Linked DNA regions of Sus scrofa. The protein of the gene in region 2 interacts with the protein of the main gene of each other region in a pairwise test. Links are inferred from orthologs where the notes say so. Each region holds a gene or a part of one and is shown on either strand. Other genes may lie near its edges.

What was found.
Region 1: the proteins of HOXA1 (region 2) and NOV interact in binary tests that used the Homo sapiens proteins (3 or more experiments, as listed by UniProt). The link is inferred for Sus scrofa from reciprocal best matches to the Homo sapiens genes HOXA1 and CCN3.
Region 3: the proteins of HOXA1 (region 2) and FBLN1 interact in binary tests that used the Homo sapiens proteins (3 or more experiments, as listed by UniProt). The link is inferred for Sus scrofa from reciprocal best matches to the Homo sapiens genes HOXA1 and FBLN1.
Region 4: the proteins of HOXA1 (region 2) and CHIC2 interact in binary tests that used the Homo sapiens proteins (3 or more experiments, as listed by UniProt). The two-hybrid records come from large-scale screens. The link is inferred for Sus scrofa from reciprocal best matches to the Homo sapiens genes HOXA1 and CHIC2.

Annotation. Positions count from the first base shown.
Region 1 is NC_010446.5:19,511,653-19,515,660, forward strand, and holds the start of NOV (protein NOV homolog), read right to left. Parts: upstream 2,830-4,008; 5' UTR 2,675-2,829; coding exon 2,591-2,674; intron 2,471-2,590; coding exon 2,245-2,470; intron 1,168-2,244; coding exon 913-1,167; intron 1-912. UniProt on the Homo sapiens protein: Immediate-early protein playing a role in various cellular processes including proliferation, adhesion, migration, differentiation and survival. Acts by binding to integrins or membrane receptors such as NOTCH1.
Region 2 is NC_010460.4:45,476,187-45,480,397, forward strand, and holds HOXA1 (homeobox protein Hox-A1), read left to right. Parts: upstream 1-1,374; 5' UTR 1,375-1,473; coding exon 1,474-2,128; intron 2,129-2,609; coding exon 2,610-2,965; 3' UTR 2,966-4,120; downstream 4,121-4,211. UniProt on the Homo sapiens protein: Sequence-specific transcription factor. Regulates multiple developmental processes including brainstem, inner and outer ear, abducens nerve and cardiovascular development and morphogenesis as well as cognition and behavior.
Region 3 is NC_010447.5:3,924,328-3,928,532, forward strand, and holds the start of FBLN1 (fibulin-1), read right to left. Parts: upstream 2,852-4,205; 5' UTR 2,731-2,851; coding exon 2,652-2,730; intron 1-2,651. UniProt on the Homo sapiens protein: Incorporated into fibronectin-containing matrix fibers. May play a role in cell adhesion and migration along protein fibers within the extracellular matrix (ECM).
Region 4 is NC_010450.4:40,843,885-40,847,962, forward strand, and holds the start of CHIC2 (cysteine-rich hydrophobic domain-containing protein 2), read right to left. Parts: upstream 2,832-4,078; 5' UTR 2,413-2,831; coding exon 2,294-2,412; intron 1-2,293.

The DNA.
Region 1 (4,008 bases), on a different chromosome or scaffold from region 2:
CTGGAAAGGTGATATTTCTCTGACACCTGTCCAGGGATGAGCGGCATTCTTTAGGGAGGCTGGTCTTGAGAGTGCATAGGTAGTGTACAAAATGCAGAAAAGAAAGAGACATTGCCAGGCCCTTTGCAAATGGCCTAAATGGCCCAATGAATTGACACTTGCCACATATATATGAGCTAAATCAACTATATGTTCTGCATGAAGTTGCCAAAGCACATCTTTGCAATCAGCGTTAGTAAGGATCAAGTGGTATATCTGGAATCTAATATTGGGCACAAATAACCTTTCCACAGAAAAGAAACTCATGGACTTGGAGAACAGACTTGTAGTTGCCAAGGGGGAGAGAGTGGGATGGACTGGGAGTCTGGGGTTAATAAATGCAAACTATTGCATTTGGAGTGGATAAGCAATGAGATCCTGCTGTACAGCACAGGGAACTATATCTAGTCATTTGTGATGGAACATGATGGAGGATAATGTGAGAAAAAGAATATATGTACATTATATATATATAATATATATATATATATATACATGACTGTGTCACTTTGCTGTACAGTAGAAAATTGACAGAACACTGTAAAGCAACTATAATGGAAAAAATAAAAATCATTAAAAAATAGGGACCAAGAGGGATTGATTCAAATATAAATAGTAGTCATGCAATAAGACAGAATCAGTCCTGTGGCTCAAAAGAACCACCTTCTTCTTCAGGAGAGACTGGGTGTGTACTCCCATAACTTGGCTGGGATTCCACCGTGGGTTTGATCTCAGTGGGCAAGCTGGACTCAACAACTGAACGGCCAGAAACTGAAGCCAGTTTCTCACTGCACACCCCAAAGAGCATGCCTGCTTCCTGCCTGTCTTGATTCCTGTGCTGTGAGCATTTTTTAGGTCTTCTGAATTTCTCACCTGGAAGGGTTTGGAGGTCCCCTAAGGTCCCCGTCTCATTTGAGTCACAGATCCACTTTTCACAGCACTCCCCGGGCACTTTGACTTTTCTCGGAGCTGGGCAGTCGGGCTGGGGCAGTAGCAGGTCCTCCTCACAGCGGGGCACACAGCCAACCTGTCCATCTTGACAGGCGCACTGGTATTTGCAGCTGGGCTGGAAGGTCTCTCCACTTTGGTAGATGACTCCGTCAAACACACAGTTGTCTCCTTCTATTGCTAGAATATTGGGGAAGCGAGGGAGAGAGAAAATCTAGAACAGTGCACTGGAGAAGCTATATACGACCCACAGCACGTGTTCCAAACCTCAGATCATTCTTTTCCTTGTTGGGGCCATCTGGTTGCTGATCCATCACCCCAAGAGAGATGTCCTCATGGAGGCCTCCCAGAGGCAAAAGAAACGCTCAAACCACCCAGTCCTGCCATTTAGTTTATGGATGAAGAAAGAGGGGCCCAATGGTGAAGTGAAACTCCCCAGGCCCCGCAGCTGCTCTTCCCAGTAATAGTTTTTTTTTTTTTTTTTTGAAGAACCTCCTTAGATTCTTCTGCTCCAGAAGCTCAGAATTAAAAAAGAAAAATGGGGGGCTCCCAACAGGTTAACTGGTCACACTGGTAAGGTGGTTAGGATTCCTTGGCATTCCAGTACAATAAATCACTAATTTAGAGAAGGAACTGAAAGGTTCTTCCAAGCCCTCTTATCCAGGGAGGCAGGGATGACCTCCAACTAAATGGTGCACCGTGTGAAAAATTGATCCCCGATTGATTAAGTTTCACCAGCCTGGATGGGCTTGTTGCCTGCATTTTTATTTTGCTCGCAACCCAGGCAGGGCTTACACAGTTGTTCCAGGAGAGGAGGGACAGCTTGGCTGAAACGGGGCAATTACAGGTGTGAAAACAAACCTGGCCGGCTCCCGTTGGGGGGGCTGTAAGCATATGAGTAAGCCCATGCTTCCATCACCCCCAAGCGTCCCCTGGAAACGTCCAAAGGAAATGACTTCACTGGTCCCTCACTGGGCTCTGCTCCCTGTCTCTCTAGATTCTTCTCTGGGGAGGCAAGTAATGAACGCTTCCCCCTTCCGCCGGCAGGTTTTGTTCCCAGCTTCTGGCGTTCTCCAAAGACCCCAAGCGCCCCCAGACCAAGGCTGGCGCACACAGCTCCGTGAACATCACCCACTGCATCCCGTAATTAGTATTTGCGCATCACCGGCTGGGGAGCGGGAGGAAGGGGAGAGGGAAGAGCGGGCAGCTTCGCTGGGCGAGGGACAGGAGGTCAGGCAGCGGAGCGGGCAAGGTTACCCATGCAGATGCCGGTCTGGGCGCTGGGGTCGGCTCGGCGGTCGCAGAAGAGACCGCGGCTCTCCTCGCAAGGCAGCATCACCGAGCAGCTCTCACCGCGCTGGCGGGCGCACACCAGGCAGCAGGAGCAGTCGTCCAGGACCGCTCTCACCCCGGGGGCGCAGGTCGGCGGCTTCTTGGGGCAGGGGGCCGGACACGAGGGAGGGCAGCGCTGAGTCGCAGCGACCTGGAGGTAGGCGAGACCAGAAGGAGAAACCTCGCAGAGCCACCTGGGGACCAAAGGCAGAGCCGCCTGGGGACTGAGCGGGGGCCGCCCAGAAAGACACCTTACGGGTGCGCCACTCACCTGTCCCAGGAGATGGAGGAGCAGGAAAGCCAGGCAGAGGCACCGCTTGGGCAGACCGAGGCGCAGGCTCTGCGCTCTCTGCATGTTCAGGCTTTGTCCTGCCGCTTTCACAAGACTTTCCAGGTCTGAGATTGGCTCTGCTCGTCCCGCTCCAGGTCGGGCTCGGCTCTCCCCAGCGCCACCGCGCAGGTTTTATAGCGCGCTCCTGGGACGCGCACAAGCCGGTTGGCTGCAGCTCAGGCAGGAGGCGGGGGGGATCGGCGGGGTGGGAATGGAACGAACCCGGGGTTGCCATGGCAATTGGCCTTGGGTGCCGCTCTCCTTAGGGCGCGGCCCCGGGGCCTGCGTGTGCCTGTGTGTGGCGACTGGCTTTTCCCAGAGCGCCGGGAGGGGCTGGGTGGAGGCCCGAGGCCAGGACCCAGGGCTCGGCTAGCGCGTGGGAAGGAAACGCCCGTTTCCTCCTGGAAGCTGCACCGCCTTCCCAGAGGACTAAGACACCGCCACTCCCCACCACGCTTCTCTGCCCTGGCCGTTCCAAGCCGGCTTGCAAACGTGGGGCTCTCCTAACGGGGTGTCTGATGTTTGGGACCATCTGTAGGGGGTTGGCCAGAGGCCCAGTGGTTAGTCATAAAGGAAGCACGTGCAAGTTTGTCACCGTTTAGGGCACTCTTTGAAAGTGTTGTGCGAGGGGAGGGGAAGAGAGAGAGAAGAGGAGAAACATAGAAGGGAGAAGGGGGTCGAGAACAGAAAATATAAAAGTCTTCATGTTAGGATGGGGGATGCTATTGGCCACAAGGCAAAATTCTTTTGACTCTAACCAGTCTAAGTTCTGCTGGTTCTTAAACCCCCAATTCTGCAGGTTTGGTGGACATACAAGTAAAACATCGTGAAATGAAAATATAAGAGCTTGAGGAGAATAAAAACTTTCTTCCTGGTAGAGAAAAACCTTGAAACACCTATGGTAGCATGCCTCCTGCGAAAGAGCACACGTCAGAATAAAGAGCCTGTGGGAGTTTACAAGGCAGGTTCAGCTCAGCCACTGTCAAAACCTCAGTGAAAGAAGGAAGGAGTGGGGAGGGTACTGGCTTAGCTGACACTCCCGCAAATCGCAAATCGAATCTCTCTTCCACCTGGCACCTGCTTTCCAAAAATGATGACTGTGACATGTCATCTCTCAAGAGGAGAGCAGTTTGCTCCAAAGGTGACACTGCTTAATGGTTAGAGAAGAAAAAAAAAAAAATGTCTCTCCTGTACGTGAACTTTGCTTCTGCCTCTGAGATAACTATGTCCAGCTCCTTTGTGGGTAGCTGTGTTGGTTGGAAAGACACTTTTCAGAAAAAAATTATACAGGCTTGTAACTCTAGGCTCCACAAAGAAACAAATTCCCTCTATGTCATCCCTCTCCAGCACGAAGGAAA
Region 2 (4,211 bases):
GACGCTCAGATTTGCACGTGTCTCTCTAGGGAAGGACTTGAAGGTTCACACAGGGAACCACACAGCCAGTTTACAAAAGGGAGGAGGTGTTGTTGGGGAAGAAGAAAATGTCCTGTCCACCATCAGCCATCTGTCCACTGCCCCTCCCACCTGCCAGCCCCCACCCCCACTTCAGCTGTGCAGTAGAATGGGGGGGGGGTGGATGAAGGAAGCTCTAGCACGCCTAACATTCGCCTCCAGGAAACGAGAAACGTTTCTGGGGGTGGCGGGGTGGGAGGGGAGGTGGAGGGGGAGTTCATCGTACTTCACTGTGGTCTCGCCCTTTGAGGCCCAGGTCGGTGTACACAGGCTCCTGGGTCCTAGGGAGCCGGCAGATGGCCTGCAGCGCACGGCCCGGCCCCCACGCTGGCCACGTCGGCTAGCGTCATCTCTCTCCCCCGCCTCCTACCCCTCAAAATCCGGCAGCAGAGTTGCTCCGGATCCCGCAGGGCTCCCAGAACAGAGCTGAGTGGGGAGGAGAAAGGGGCGGAGAGCGAGGAGAGAGGGAGGGCGAAGAGCCGGGCCACCCCCGGCCTTTTCCGGCAAGCTTAGCTCCCAAGGTTCACCCGTTCCCGAGCATCGAATTACAGCAGCTCCCCGTTGCCACGCTAACAGCTCGTGGGGGTGGGGGAGGAACGGGGGCTTCAAGACCCTACAGGGAGAGGGAAGTTTCCTTTCTTGCGCTTGTCCCCTCCACGCCCACTCGGGTTCCCCCAGCCAGCCCTCTGCGCACTTCCCTCTCCTTCCGGAGACCTGGTGGTGGCCCAGCCTCGTCCCCCGCCACCGTTCTCGGCTCTCCTCACTGCCCCCAAGGCATCACAGAAGGGACGGCAGTGAAAGCGCCCGGGGAGCGACCCTTCCAGTTCCTCGCGTTCCGGGCTCAGCCAGTGTGCAAGTGGCGGCCCAGCGAGCTCCCTCCCACTGACTCCCGACCCAAGAGAGCGCGGAGCCCTCTTGGCGTCTCACCTCTTGCCAGTTCCTCTTTCTGTGCACGGTGGGGAGGGGGGCGGTGACCGAGGATGGCTCTCAGCCCCCACCTCCCGGAGGGGGGCGATCGGAGTCGGCCACTCGCAGAAGGCAGCCCCTGCTCCCCTTCGCCCCAACGCTGGGAATCTGCCCCTGCAGCCGCCGCAGCTGCTGCTGCCGCCCGGGCTGCCTGGGGGGGCGACTGCGCGTCACCTAGACTGAGGAGCGCCGGGGATTTAAATGCCACTGAAAGGGTGATCCATCACCGCAGGAGCCAGCAAACTTTCGCAGGAGGCTCCGCCATTGGCTGAGAGAGTCACGTGCCCCTCCCCTAGCGCCCTCCGCCCTCCCGCCCCCCCTCTTGCGCACTGTACATTCATATCATTTTTCTTCTCCGGCCCCATGGAGGAAGTGAGAAAGTTGGCACGGTCACTCAGGGCTTCGCAGGACCCGGTCACTCAGTGACAGATGGACAATGCAAGAATGAGCTCCTTCCTGGAATACCCCATCCTCAGCGGTGGCGACTCGGGGACCTGCTCAGCGCGAGCCTACCCCTCCGACCATGGAATTACAACTTTCCAGTCGTGCGCGGTCAGTGCCAATAGCTGTGGCGGCGACGACCGCTTCCTAGTGGGCAGGGGGGTGCAGATCAGCCCGCCCCACCACCACCACCACCACCACCACCATCACCACCCCCAGCCGGCCACCTACCAGACTCCTGGGAACCTGGGGGTGTCCTACTCCCACTCGAGTTGTGGTCCAAGCTACGGCGCGCAGAACTTTGGCGCGCCTTACAGCTCCTACGCGTTAAATCAGGAAGCAGAAGTAAGTGGTGGGTACCCCACGTGCGCTCCCGCTGTTTACTCTGGAAATCTCTCATCTCCCATGGTCCAGCATCACCACCACCACCAGGGTTATGCCGGGGGCGCGGTGGGCTCGCCTCAATATATTCACCACTCATATGGACAAGAGCATCAGAGCCTGGCCCTGGCCACGTATAATAACTCCTTGTCCCCTCTCCACGCCAGCCACCAAGAAGCCTGCCGCTCCCCTGCATCAGAGACGTCTTCTCCAGCGCAGACATTTGACTGGATGAAAGTCAAAAGGAACCCTCCCAAAACAGGTCAGTCTTGCCCTTCCATGAATGATCCTTGATTATTCAGGAAGGAGCCGGTATGCTTAGTTTCCAAGGAAAATTAATCAAGGTTTTGTTTTGTTTTTTTCTTTAAAATTCTTGCTTCCCACCGGTGTTGTAGGGTGTTGGGAGGCTGCCCAGGTGTGGTTGGCACAAAGGAACATCTGGGATTGTTGTGTTTCCAAGGGGGCTGAGTTTTAGAGGTTTTGGAAGTAGGACGTGGGAAAGTGGGTAGGTGTGTATGTGTGTGTTAATATCTCCAGGCTCCATTAATCACTGGTCTGACCATGCTAATGGGTGACTTCAGATGAACGCTTTACACCTCATCACTCACCCTCCCAAGCCCGGCTTGTGTTGAGAAATTCTTGATTCCCCCTTTGCCTGAATCTTGCTCTGAAGCCTACAGGGACTCTCATATCGAATATAAATTTTTTCCCCTTTTTTCCCCATCGCTTCCCCTTGCCCTCAGGGAAAGTTGGCGAGTACGGCTACGTGGGTCAGCCCAACGCGGTGCGGACCAACTTCACCACCAAGCAGCTCACGGAGCTGGAGAAGGAGTTTCACTTCAATAAGTACCTGACGCGGGCCCGCAGGGTGGAGATCGCCGCGTCCTTGCAGCTCAATGAGACCCAGGTGAAGATCTGGTTCCAGAACCGCCGAATGAAGCAGAAGAAACGAGAGAAGGAGGGCCTCTTGCCCATCTCTCCAGCCACCCCACCGGGCAGTGAGGAGAAGGCCGAGGAATCCTCCGAGAAGTCCAGCTCCTCGCCCTGCGTTCCTTCCCCGGGGTCTGCTACCTCAGACACTCTACCTACCTCCCACTGAGGCCGCCCCAGCCCCAGACTCGACTCTTCCGGCTGGGACTTCTTTCCCAAAGCACATTCTTAGCTTATCTTCCTGTCCATTTACAATCTCTCTCTTCCTCTCTGATCCTATCTGGGGAACTCCTGGCCAGGATACTGTGTTTCCAGTGAATTCTGGATTAGAGACTGGTGTGGGGGCAGGGGAGTGCTAGCTCCGCAATGCAAATTGAGTGCCAACATCAATTTTCTCAAGGCCCCTAACGCCCCTAGTTTTAGGAGATTTCTTTGACAGACCCTACAGTTCCTTTCAGATGCCCTTTGGAAAATAGTCTCCTTTGCCAGCAGAAACATGTCAGAGGGAGGCCTCTCATCTTATATCTAACCGTGTATTTACAGTTCTCCCCTACTCTGCCCTTAAAGTAGGATAGAGAGAGAAGAGAGTCCAGGAGCTCATGAGGAAGAGATGCACTATGAGCGTGTTTACACAATTAATTCACCCCTTAATTTAACTCAGTTTCATGTGTGTGAGTCTGCTGGTTGTAAATACTTTGTCCTGAAAGATTTATCTTTATACAGATTTTCTAGAAATGTTTAGATTAAGGGATGAAAATAGGGTGGGCAAACTCTCTAAGCTGGTACAACTTTGTATGTGATTATAGGTTAAAGACTAAAAGCTCCCAGTAAAATCAATCAGAGGCCTCAGAGGGTCGCCTCCGTTTGTTCTTTCAGCAAGTTAAGAAAGCCTGCAGCATAAAGGGTCAGAAACCTGGCTCCCTGGGCTGAGTCTCTCCCCATCCCCACGCCTTTCTCCTTTCTCTGGCCACACTCTTTCAAATTTGCGCTGGAGTATTCAGGACCCAAACGTATTATTTCACACCAGCTTCTTCCCTCCACAGTTATTGTAGCTGGATATGATGTATTTTTAGCTCAGTTGTTAATGTGATGGATGGCACAATGAATGTATATTTTGTGTGATTCGTGAATAGTCTTTTGCATGTCGCACAATGTCTTGATGTTCCCGAAGTACCACACTGAGTTTTATCAGTTATCCTTTGTGATAGTTCCCATTTCCTGTACAATCATGAACAGCTCCGAGATCCCAGAAGGATGTGATCCAGAGCAGAGTTTACGGGTCTTAAGATGTCTGTAATAAATATATTCAAGTTTCAGATATGCTTAAGCATCTCTGTGTCTGGCTTGGCTACAATTTGTTGGTCCCTACAAAGTTGGCTCCTTTCCTGTGGGGAAGGGGAGAAGGGTGTTGTGTA
Region 3 (4,205 bases), on a different chromosome or scaffold from region 2:
TCCCTCCCTCAGTCCCCAGGGTCCCCTGTGACCTCCACTTTACAGATGAGAAACCCGCCAGACCACCCCTGGGATGACAAGGTTCTTAGCCATCCCACCAACGGCCCTGGCAGCCTGCTGGGTCCCCAAGGTGAGGGAACCACGCTCCCCCCCAAAACACACACATCATCAGGGCAGCAAATGTGGCCTGAGTTGGGGTGGCCTCAGGCAGTGCCAGGAGGGGGTGTGTGACCAGGAGTGGTGGCCCCACAGGAGAGGCCAGGGCGCTCCAGCCACCCCCTACCCCCACCTCAGCCCATCCGCCCCGTCGCCCCCCGACTGGGAAACTTCCAGGAGCCGCAGGGGCGCAGCCGCGTGTTTCAAGCCAAGTCCTCGCCCCTTTGTTCTCCTCTCTGTAATCAGTCGGAAAGGCTGCCCGGCTGGAGCCACAGGCCAAGAAAGTCTTGGAGGAAAAACACAACCCGTCTTTCCCCCTCCCAGCCCGGCGCTCAGGAAAGCCCAGCAGGATGGACGGACGGAGGCAGGACAGACAGACCCGTGGTTCCACCTCTGTCCCTCGGCACCAAAGTCCAGGGCCCTTCTGTGTCTGTGGCCGGGTCACCAAACGAGTTGAGCAGATCAGCTCACAGGCTCGCCGTCAAGGCCTTTTCCAAGATCACTTTTAAACTGCATGTTTCCTCTCGGACCCCAGGGCTCTGGGACAGAGGGTGGGGACAGTGTCACCCTGGACCTTAGCAGGCTTCAGGGCACCTTGCAGCTCTGAGCTCGCAGGCACAGGACGGAAGCAGGCAGACTTCTGACTCCCTCACCCCAAACCACACTAAACTTATTGAAATTCAGAAGAGGGACCTCCCCCAGCCCCCAAAGGGCCACATGGGGTCTCATCGGTGTGCAATTAAGAAGTTTCTTTCACACACTTCAGGTTAGGCCCTTCCCTTTGAAGAAGCTGGTTGCAAAACCATCAGGCAGGCCGGGGAGCCACTCCAGCCAAGCGAGTCTCCTTCGAAGCTGCACACGGCCAGGCTGCAGGCCACTCTTATCCCACAGTGGGCAGAAAAGAACAGCCATGGAGGATCTGGGGACCTGGGCTCGGGAAAGTTCCACTATGTCTTCTCTCTGGGCCGCGGTTCCCTTGTGTGTAAATTACAGGGAGTTTGGGGGCCCTCCCGTTTCCAATAGGGGTTTGCGTGACCCCCAGTCTGAAGCCCCTCTAGACTTTCACTGCAGCCGGCGGTCACCTGAATTTGCTTCCTTCCCCGCCTGCCTGACCAGCTCCTGCTCAAACACCACTTTCTCCAAGAAACCTCCTATAAGCCCCAGGGCCAGGGATGGTTCTTGCGGCCAAGAAGAGCAGCCTGCCCGACCCCCCCCTCCCCAGCCCCCACGAGATGTCCCCTAGGACCTGCCCAGGATGGCATCGATGCCTAGAACAGCCAGAGCTCAGTGAGGGTTGGCTGCAGGGAGCAGGGGAGCCAAGAAACCTCTGCAGAGCTCTCCCTGCCCCCGCCTGCCTCTCAGGGAGCCCTGAATCCCTGGCTCTCAGGGAACCTGAATCCCTGGCGGGGAACCCTGAATCCCTGGCGAGCATTACCTGGGACAAGTGACCTTTGACAGAGGAGGAGGGAGGTCACCTGAGAGTTGAAAAGAAACTCAACTAAGCCAGAGATAAAGAATCTGGAATTCCGAGGGTGATGTTCGGGGCTCTTATCTGGGCCTGGCCCCAGAAAGGCTGGCCTGGCTAACGACTGTTGAGCCAAGGGTCGCAGAAAAGTCAGAGGTCATGGCTGTGATCTGCAGGGCCTTGCGGTCCAGGAGCTCCAGGAGCTCGGCCTGGAGGATTAAGGAAGAAAGAAGGATGGGCGGGTGCTTGTGAGCCCAGCGCCGTCGGTCTCCAGGCTGGGGGCTCTGGGCCTGGGTCCGCTAGTGGAGATGCCCTGGCAACCCACTGTCACCAGGTGGGTGGGTTTGGAAGTGGCCTGTTCCCAGCCACAGCTGAGCATGGATCCTGGCAGAACCTCTGTTTTGGGGCCCCCTGTGCCCCAAAAGGGTAGGCGGGGGTCTCCCCCCTGGCAGCCATCATCACCCTGAACACTTCCAGGCTCCTCCCCTCCTTTCTGAGTTCACGTCCAGCCCCTACTCCGTCCATGACTGGTTTTGTCTCTTGTTCCCCGTCCCCCGCCCCCCGCCGCCGCCCCGGTTTTCTCATTAGCAAGCTGGGTATGGAGCCCCCAGCAGGGTGGGGAACAAGTGTGTGCCAGGGCACTCCAGGTGCAAGGAACGGGGCACCAGGGTGCTTGGCAGCCACCAGGCAGCGCTTCCTCGCCCCCCGCCCGCCTTGGCCCCAGTGGGCGGGTGGGCAGAAGGATGTGTTTGGAGGGCTCCGTCTTTAAAACACGTCCCCAAGTCAGTGAGGCGATCAGGATGGAAGCCAGGAGACGCGTCGAGGGGGGAACGTCGCCTGGGCCCGGCGAGGCGCAACTCCAACATCCCCCCGCCCCCGGGCCGCCGAGGGGGCGCCCGCAGCTCCAAAACTCCCACGGGACGCGGGGCCGGGCGGTCCGGGGGTGGGAGAGACCCTCGAGCCGCAGCCGTCGACTCGGGGCGCCTCCCCCCGCTTCCCTCCCGACGCCCCCCTCCCCCAGCGCCCCTACCTGGGGCCGCCAGCAGCGAGAGGCCGCCAAGCAGCAGCAGCGGCAGCGGGACCCGGCGCGACGGGGCGGCGCGCTCCATGGGGCGGCGGGCGGCGGAGCGGACAAAGGCGCGGGGGCGGCGGGCGGGCAGCGCGGGCTCCGAGCTCCGGCCGAGCCTCCGCAGCCAACGCAGGGCCCCGGCCGCGCGGTTCAATTATCCCGCCCCGGAGGAGGGCGCGGCGGAGGCGGGGCCAGGGGGCGCCCGCTCCCCCTCCCCCTCGACCGCTCCCCGCCCGGGACCTCGGGGCCCCCTCCCTCCTGGCGTCCCCCCGCCCCGCCCCAGCAGCGCGCGGGCCCAGGGCCGGGGAGAGAGCAGGGACCCTCGAACTGCTCCCTGTGGGGAGTGGCGAAGGGGGGCGCTTTCGGAGCGTAGCACCCCCACCCCCCTCATCCCCCCTCATCCCCCCTCATCCCCCCTCAACCCCCCTCATCCCCCGCCCAGGGCTCGGGTGAAACTCGATCCCCTCCCCCCCCCCGTGGGCGGGCTGGGTAGCAAAGGTTAGCTCCGCCCAACTCTGCGGGCAGGGCGGGGGAGGGGGCCCGGGGCGGCGGGGGGCCCGTGGGTAGGAAGAGCGTTTTTTGGGGGGGGGAGTAAGGGGAGGCTCCGGTCCCCAAAGAACCCCCACCCCCACCCCGAACGCACTGCCTGCTCGTTTCCCGCTCTCGATCTCCCTGCGCGCCGGCTCCCAGGGTTCTGCGAGTCGGTGGCTGCCCCCGGTGTGTCCTGGGCTGCGTACCGGCCCTGCCCTCAGGGGACCCCCAGTTAGTCCTGCCGCAGACAGACGCCATCAACCAACATCCCAACACCGGTGAGTGTGATGAACCCCCAACTCCCAAGCTCGAGGGAAAAGCGATTCCTTTGGCTGACGAGGAAACAGCCTTGGAGCTGGACCTGCAAGAGCCACCTCTTTGTGTAGCGATTCATGACTGCCACCAGTCAATGGTTACTGAGGACGATTTAGTCTGTAGACTGTTTAAAAGAATAACAAAAACAAAATGTGGGCAGGGGAAGATGAGGAGCCATGGAATGAGACCCACATGACATTAGCCAAGTGTAGATGTCGCCTGACCCAGCAGTCTTACCCCAGTTTACACCCAGCAGAAAGGCATACACGTGTCTGTGCTCCAGAGACAGAAGGGCATGCAGCAGAGGGTTCACTGCAGCACAGTTCATAAGAGCTTCCAACTGGGAAGGGCCCAGCCTCACCAGCAGCAGGGTGAGAACACTGGCCAGTCAGCGTGGAGCAGGACACAGCCCTGAAAAGTGAGAGCCCTACAACCAGGGCAGAAACAGGGACGGTTCTCGGAAACCATGGTTCTCAGATGGTTCTCAGCCCCCATGGAGCTGGACGCCAAAGAGCTCTAATGGCCAGATTCTCTTGTTATAAAGAACAGGAACGGTGCTCGCTTCCAGAGCACATATACTCAAATTGGAATGATATAAAGAAGATCAGTGTGGCCCCGGAGCAAGGATGACATGCAAAGTCCTGAAGTGTTCCGTGTTTTAACTGTTGC
Region 4 (4,078 bases), on a different chromosome or scaffold from region 2:
TTTTTTTTTTTTTTTTTTTTTTGCCACACCCGAGGCATATGGAAGCTCCTGGACTCACAGATTGAACCCAAGCCACAGCAATGACAACACCAAACCCTTAAACGCCAGGCCACCAGGGAACATCAATCCTTAATAATCTTAAAAGCTAGAAACTGTAACTATCCCCATCTTAAATGAAGAGGCGTAGATAATTTACCCAAGAAGTGGCAAAGGGTCCATCTTGAACCCAGAGCCTAGCGCCAAGGTAACAGGAAAGAAAGAGAAGTTGAGGAGGGAGCTCATAGAAACATTAAGTCCCCACGTAGAAAGGCATACCGTTCAGCGTTGGCATATAGTTCCTCTTATGCTCTGGAATAGTGGGTTTCAATCCTGGATACATATTTGAATCACCTGTGGAACTTTTTAAAAAAACGAACCAAGCCTGGAACTTTCGCTCAGATACTTGGCTTTCAAGCAGCCTGACCCGTGGCAAAGGAAGGGTGTGTGTTTAAATCTCCCCAGGTGATTCTAATGGACAAATGAGATTGAAAACCACTTAATTAGTGGTTATTATTCTCTCCCACTCTGTTAACCCCTCTCAGCAGCCAACCAAAATCAAATCATCCATTGGTTCTGAGCACCTCACCTATTATATTTTCCATTATGCCCAACAAGTACTTAGCTTTTTTCCTTCAACAGCGGAAACATTATATCTATAGCTGCACCTTTTTAAATAAAATTTTTCTGGTTCTTCTTTGACATGAGGAATGTAAGAGGAGGAGTGGGCACATATGATAAAATTTGAAAAGCCCTTCTTTAAGCACCCCTACAACTCCTTAGGTTTAAAACAATGTAAAAAGGTCCTAAAAAAATAAAAATTAAATGGTGGGCTATGATATCTGTTAAAGAAAGATTTAATATCCAAATATGTGGTTCTATTTCTTAATGTGGCTGCTGATGACAGTTAAAAAACTAAGTAACAGTTATTGTGGCCATAAATTCCATTGTCCTTTCATGGCTCTGTGACAGTGATTGTGCAGTGTTTTTACCCTGTTAAGTCATCTGAATATAAACTAACAGGTGCTAAAGAAATCAAAGCATTACATAAGCACACCCAAACAACAGCATGGTTGGTCACATCATGTATTGAGAAATGCCAGGATTTTGCTGACAGTCTTCAATGAGAAGTCTTACTGTTTCACCAAAAGTTATTCACTGCACACCCCACTCACCCTAAACCAAAAATATAATGAAAAGTGTTCCAGGCAGTCTTAGACGTGCTGGCCCTTTAGTTTTACTAAAAAGGTGGAGTGTGGAGATATCTGACAAGTGTGAAGTTTGATCTAGGATTTGAACAAGAGACCTAAAATGAAAAAGTATAAATACTTCAAGTTGTACAAAACTCTGGACTTCTCAGAGAAACATTACAAAACTTCCTGCTTCCGGACAGCTCATTATTTGGTTCAAGTCTTCACATTCCTTTATTAGTCATGACCTTTCAGAAAGCTCTCCTTCCTTATTGTTTGAACAATATCAGCCTTTTATAGGTTGCCAATGGGACTTTACGGGAACCCTTATCAAAAGAAGAAGCCACCCAGGAGCTCTTGCCCAAAAGAAGGACTTAGATAACAGAAACCCTCACTGGGCATTGTGTGCCCATCACGTAGTTTTTTAAAAAATTATCTGTAAACCTAATCATTCTGCATCTTAAAAATATATGCTCATCTATACATTTTTTTATCATATACAATTACAGGAACTTGCATTCGATCCGCAGAAACTGACTCTGCAAGAGACTGGGAAGACCTGTGGGTGTGTGTGAAATACAAACATAGGGACAACGAACTACTCATGACCCACACTGTCACTCGGGTCTCACCTGGCCCAGATCCGGCCTCTGAGCCATATGTCACTATGCTCAACCGCACAGACGAGGAGACAGAGAGCCACAGGGTAACAGGATGAGAAAACAAGGGGGAGGCGCCTCAGAAATACGTGGATTTCCACCCCGAGGCCGAAAGGGTGGCCGGAAGGGCAGACCCTAAGGAATAACCTTCCCTCCTGGGATCCGACACAGCGCCCAGGCCCGTAGGGCCTGCTAAGAAGGCAGCGGGGGGAGGCAGGGCAGTGTCTGGCTCCACTCTGGAGACCGCAACAAATGAAAATAAAGCAAGTTCTCACTTCCTGCTCGCCTACTCCTCCCGCAGGCCTCCGACACCAGACAGACCCCAGGGAGAAAGAGCCCCCACGGAGCACGGGGGCCGCCCCAGCCCTGCACCTCCCGCCCTCGCCCTCGCCCTCCTCCGGGCCTTACACGGTGACGTGACCGGAGCCGCGGACCACCACCGGGTCCGGCGAGTACTTGAGCAGCTGCTCCTCCAGGGCCCGCTCCTCGTCTTCTTCCTCCTCGTAGATCTCGTCGAAATCCGCCATCCTGAGCCTCCGCGGCCCCCCGCCCGAAGGGGCCTGACTCCAGGGGCTGCGGCCGGGATACGGGCTGGCGAGGCAGCCGAGGCTGAGCGGAGTCGCTGCCGCGGGCTCCGAGGCCGCGGAGTTCGCTCTGGATTGTCTTGGCTTCGGCTACAGAGGAGATGGGGTCCCGGCCGTCGCCGCCGCCGCCGCCATTACCGTCAGCAACAACAACAACACAATGTCAACATCCGCCCAAGGGCCGACACCTCCACCAGTACCGCCGCCGCCGCCGCCGCCGCCGCCGCCGCCGCCGCAGCAGCAACTCAGGCAACCACAGCAACAGCCAGAGCCACCCGCAGCGGGAGCACCCGGCTACGACATCGCGAGACTTCCCGGGAGTGCGGGCGGGCGGGCGGACGCGTGGGCGCGCGAGCGCGCAGGCAGGCGGCGCGGGAGCGCGCACGTGAGGCCTCGCGCGCTCCCAAAGGTCGCCTTCCCCCACTTCCACCCAACGAGGGTGTCTTGGGCTCGCGCTCCCCCCGCCCCCCGACGCGGCCCCGCCCTCCAGAAGAGGGGTCGCCGACCGGCTAGAGGACTGTGCCTAAGGGCTGGTGCCATTGACCGTGACTCAGAAAGAGAGCTGAGTGTCCAGAGGGGCCCTTAGTTCCCTAAAGTACTCTCTAACCAGAACAACTAAGAATAAAAACCCTGGCCGGAATAGAGAATTTATTGTGCATGCGGTTGCCAGTTTATCTAAAAATCAAATCTCACTTTTCGTCAGTATTTTTTAGTCTGTGATGAGTACCAGAGTCTTTACTTTTCCAATTTGAGGAACCCAACACACAGACTGCAAATATTTTTGTCCACTATAATACAAGATTTTTCAAAACTGTCCAAATTCAAACACCTTGTCCCATCACCACCTTAAAAATTGTCCAATATGTGATGCCAGTGATGCTAATGTTTTGTTTTGTTTTTCCTTACAAGAAAGCTCATCGAAGTCATGCCATGAAACAAAATTGATAATGTCTCTGGATTCTGGATTAGAAGATGCATTTTCCTGCCCAAGCTTCTTCATCAACCATAACCTCTTATCCCCTAAGACCTTAGGGCCTACCTTTCCCTTCCTTAAGCTCCTCCCAGGAAACGAAAGGAAAAAGGGAAGCAGAGGAAGAGTTTAATGGATTCTGCTTATTGGTCTAGGCCACCAACAAAGGCCTAAGTAAGGGTCACGCTGGGTACTTGGCTTCATAATCAATAAGCCGCCCAGGCATACAAATAGATCAGGGGCAGGAGTGGCTCCTGAGAGCGTTCAGGATAAGGAGCATACACTGTGAGAGCTAGTAAGGGTGGTCATACCTGACTCAGTGCTGGCCATAATGTTCACCAAATGTAGTGTTCACTTCCCACCAGTTTAGATGGGTCATTGCAGATTGCAGTAGCTGAGAAAGTACAAAGTGGGGCAATTAGGACAGGGGGAAACAACAAAAACCTCCTACTGGTAATGGTTCAAGAAAATGAGCACAGTTAGTCAAGAAAAGAGGAAGGAGGAGTTCCCATCCTAGCTCAGTGGTTGAACAAACCTGACTATTATCCATGAGGACACGGGTTCAATCCCTGGCCTGGCTCAGCGGGTTGAGGATCTGGCATTGCCTTAAGCTGTCGTGTAGTTTGCAGATGCATCTGG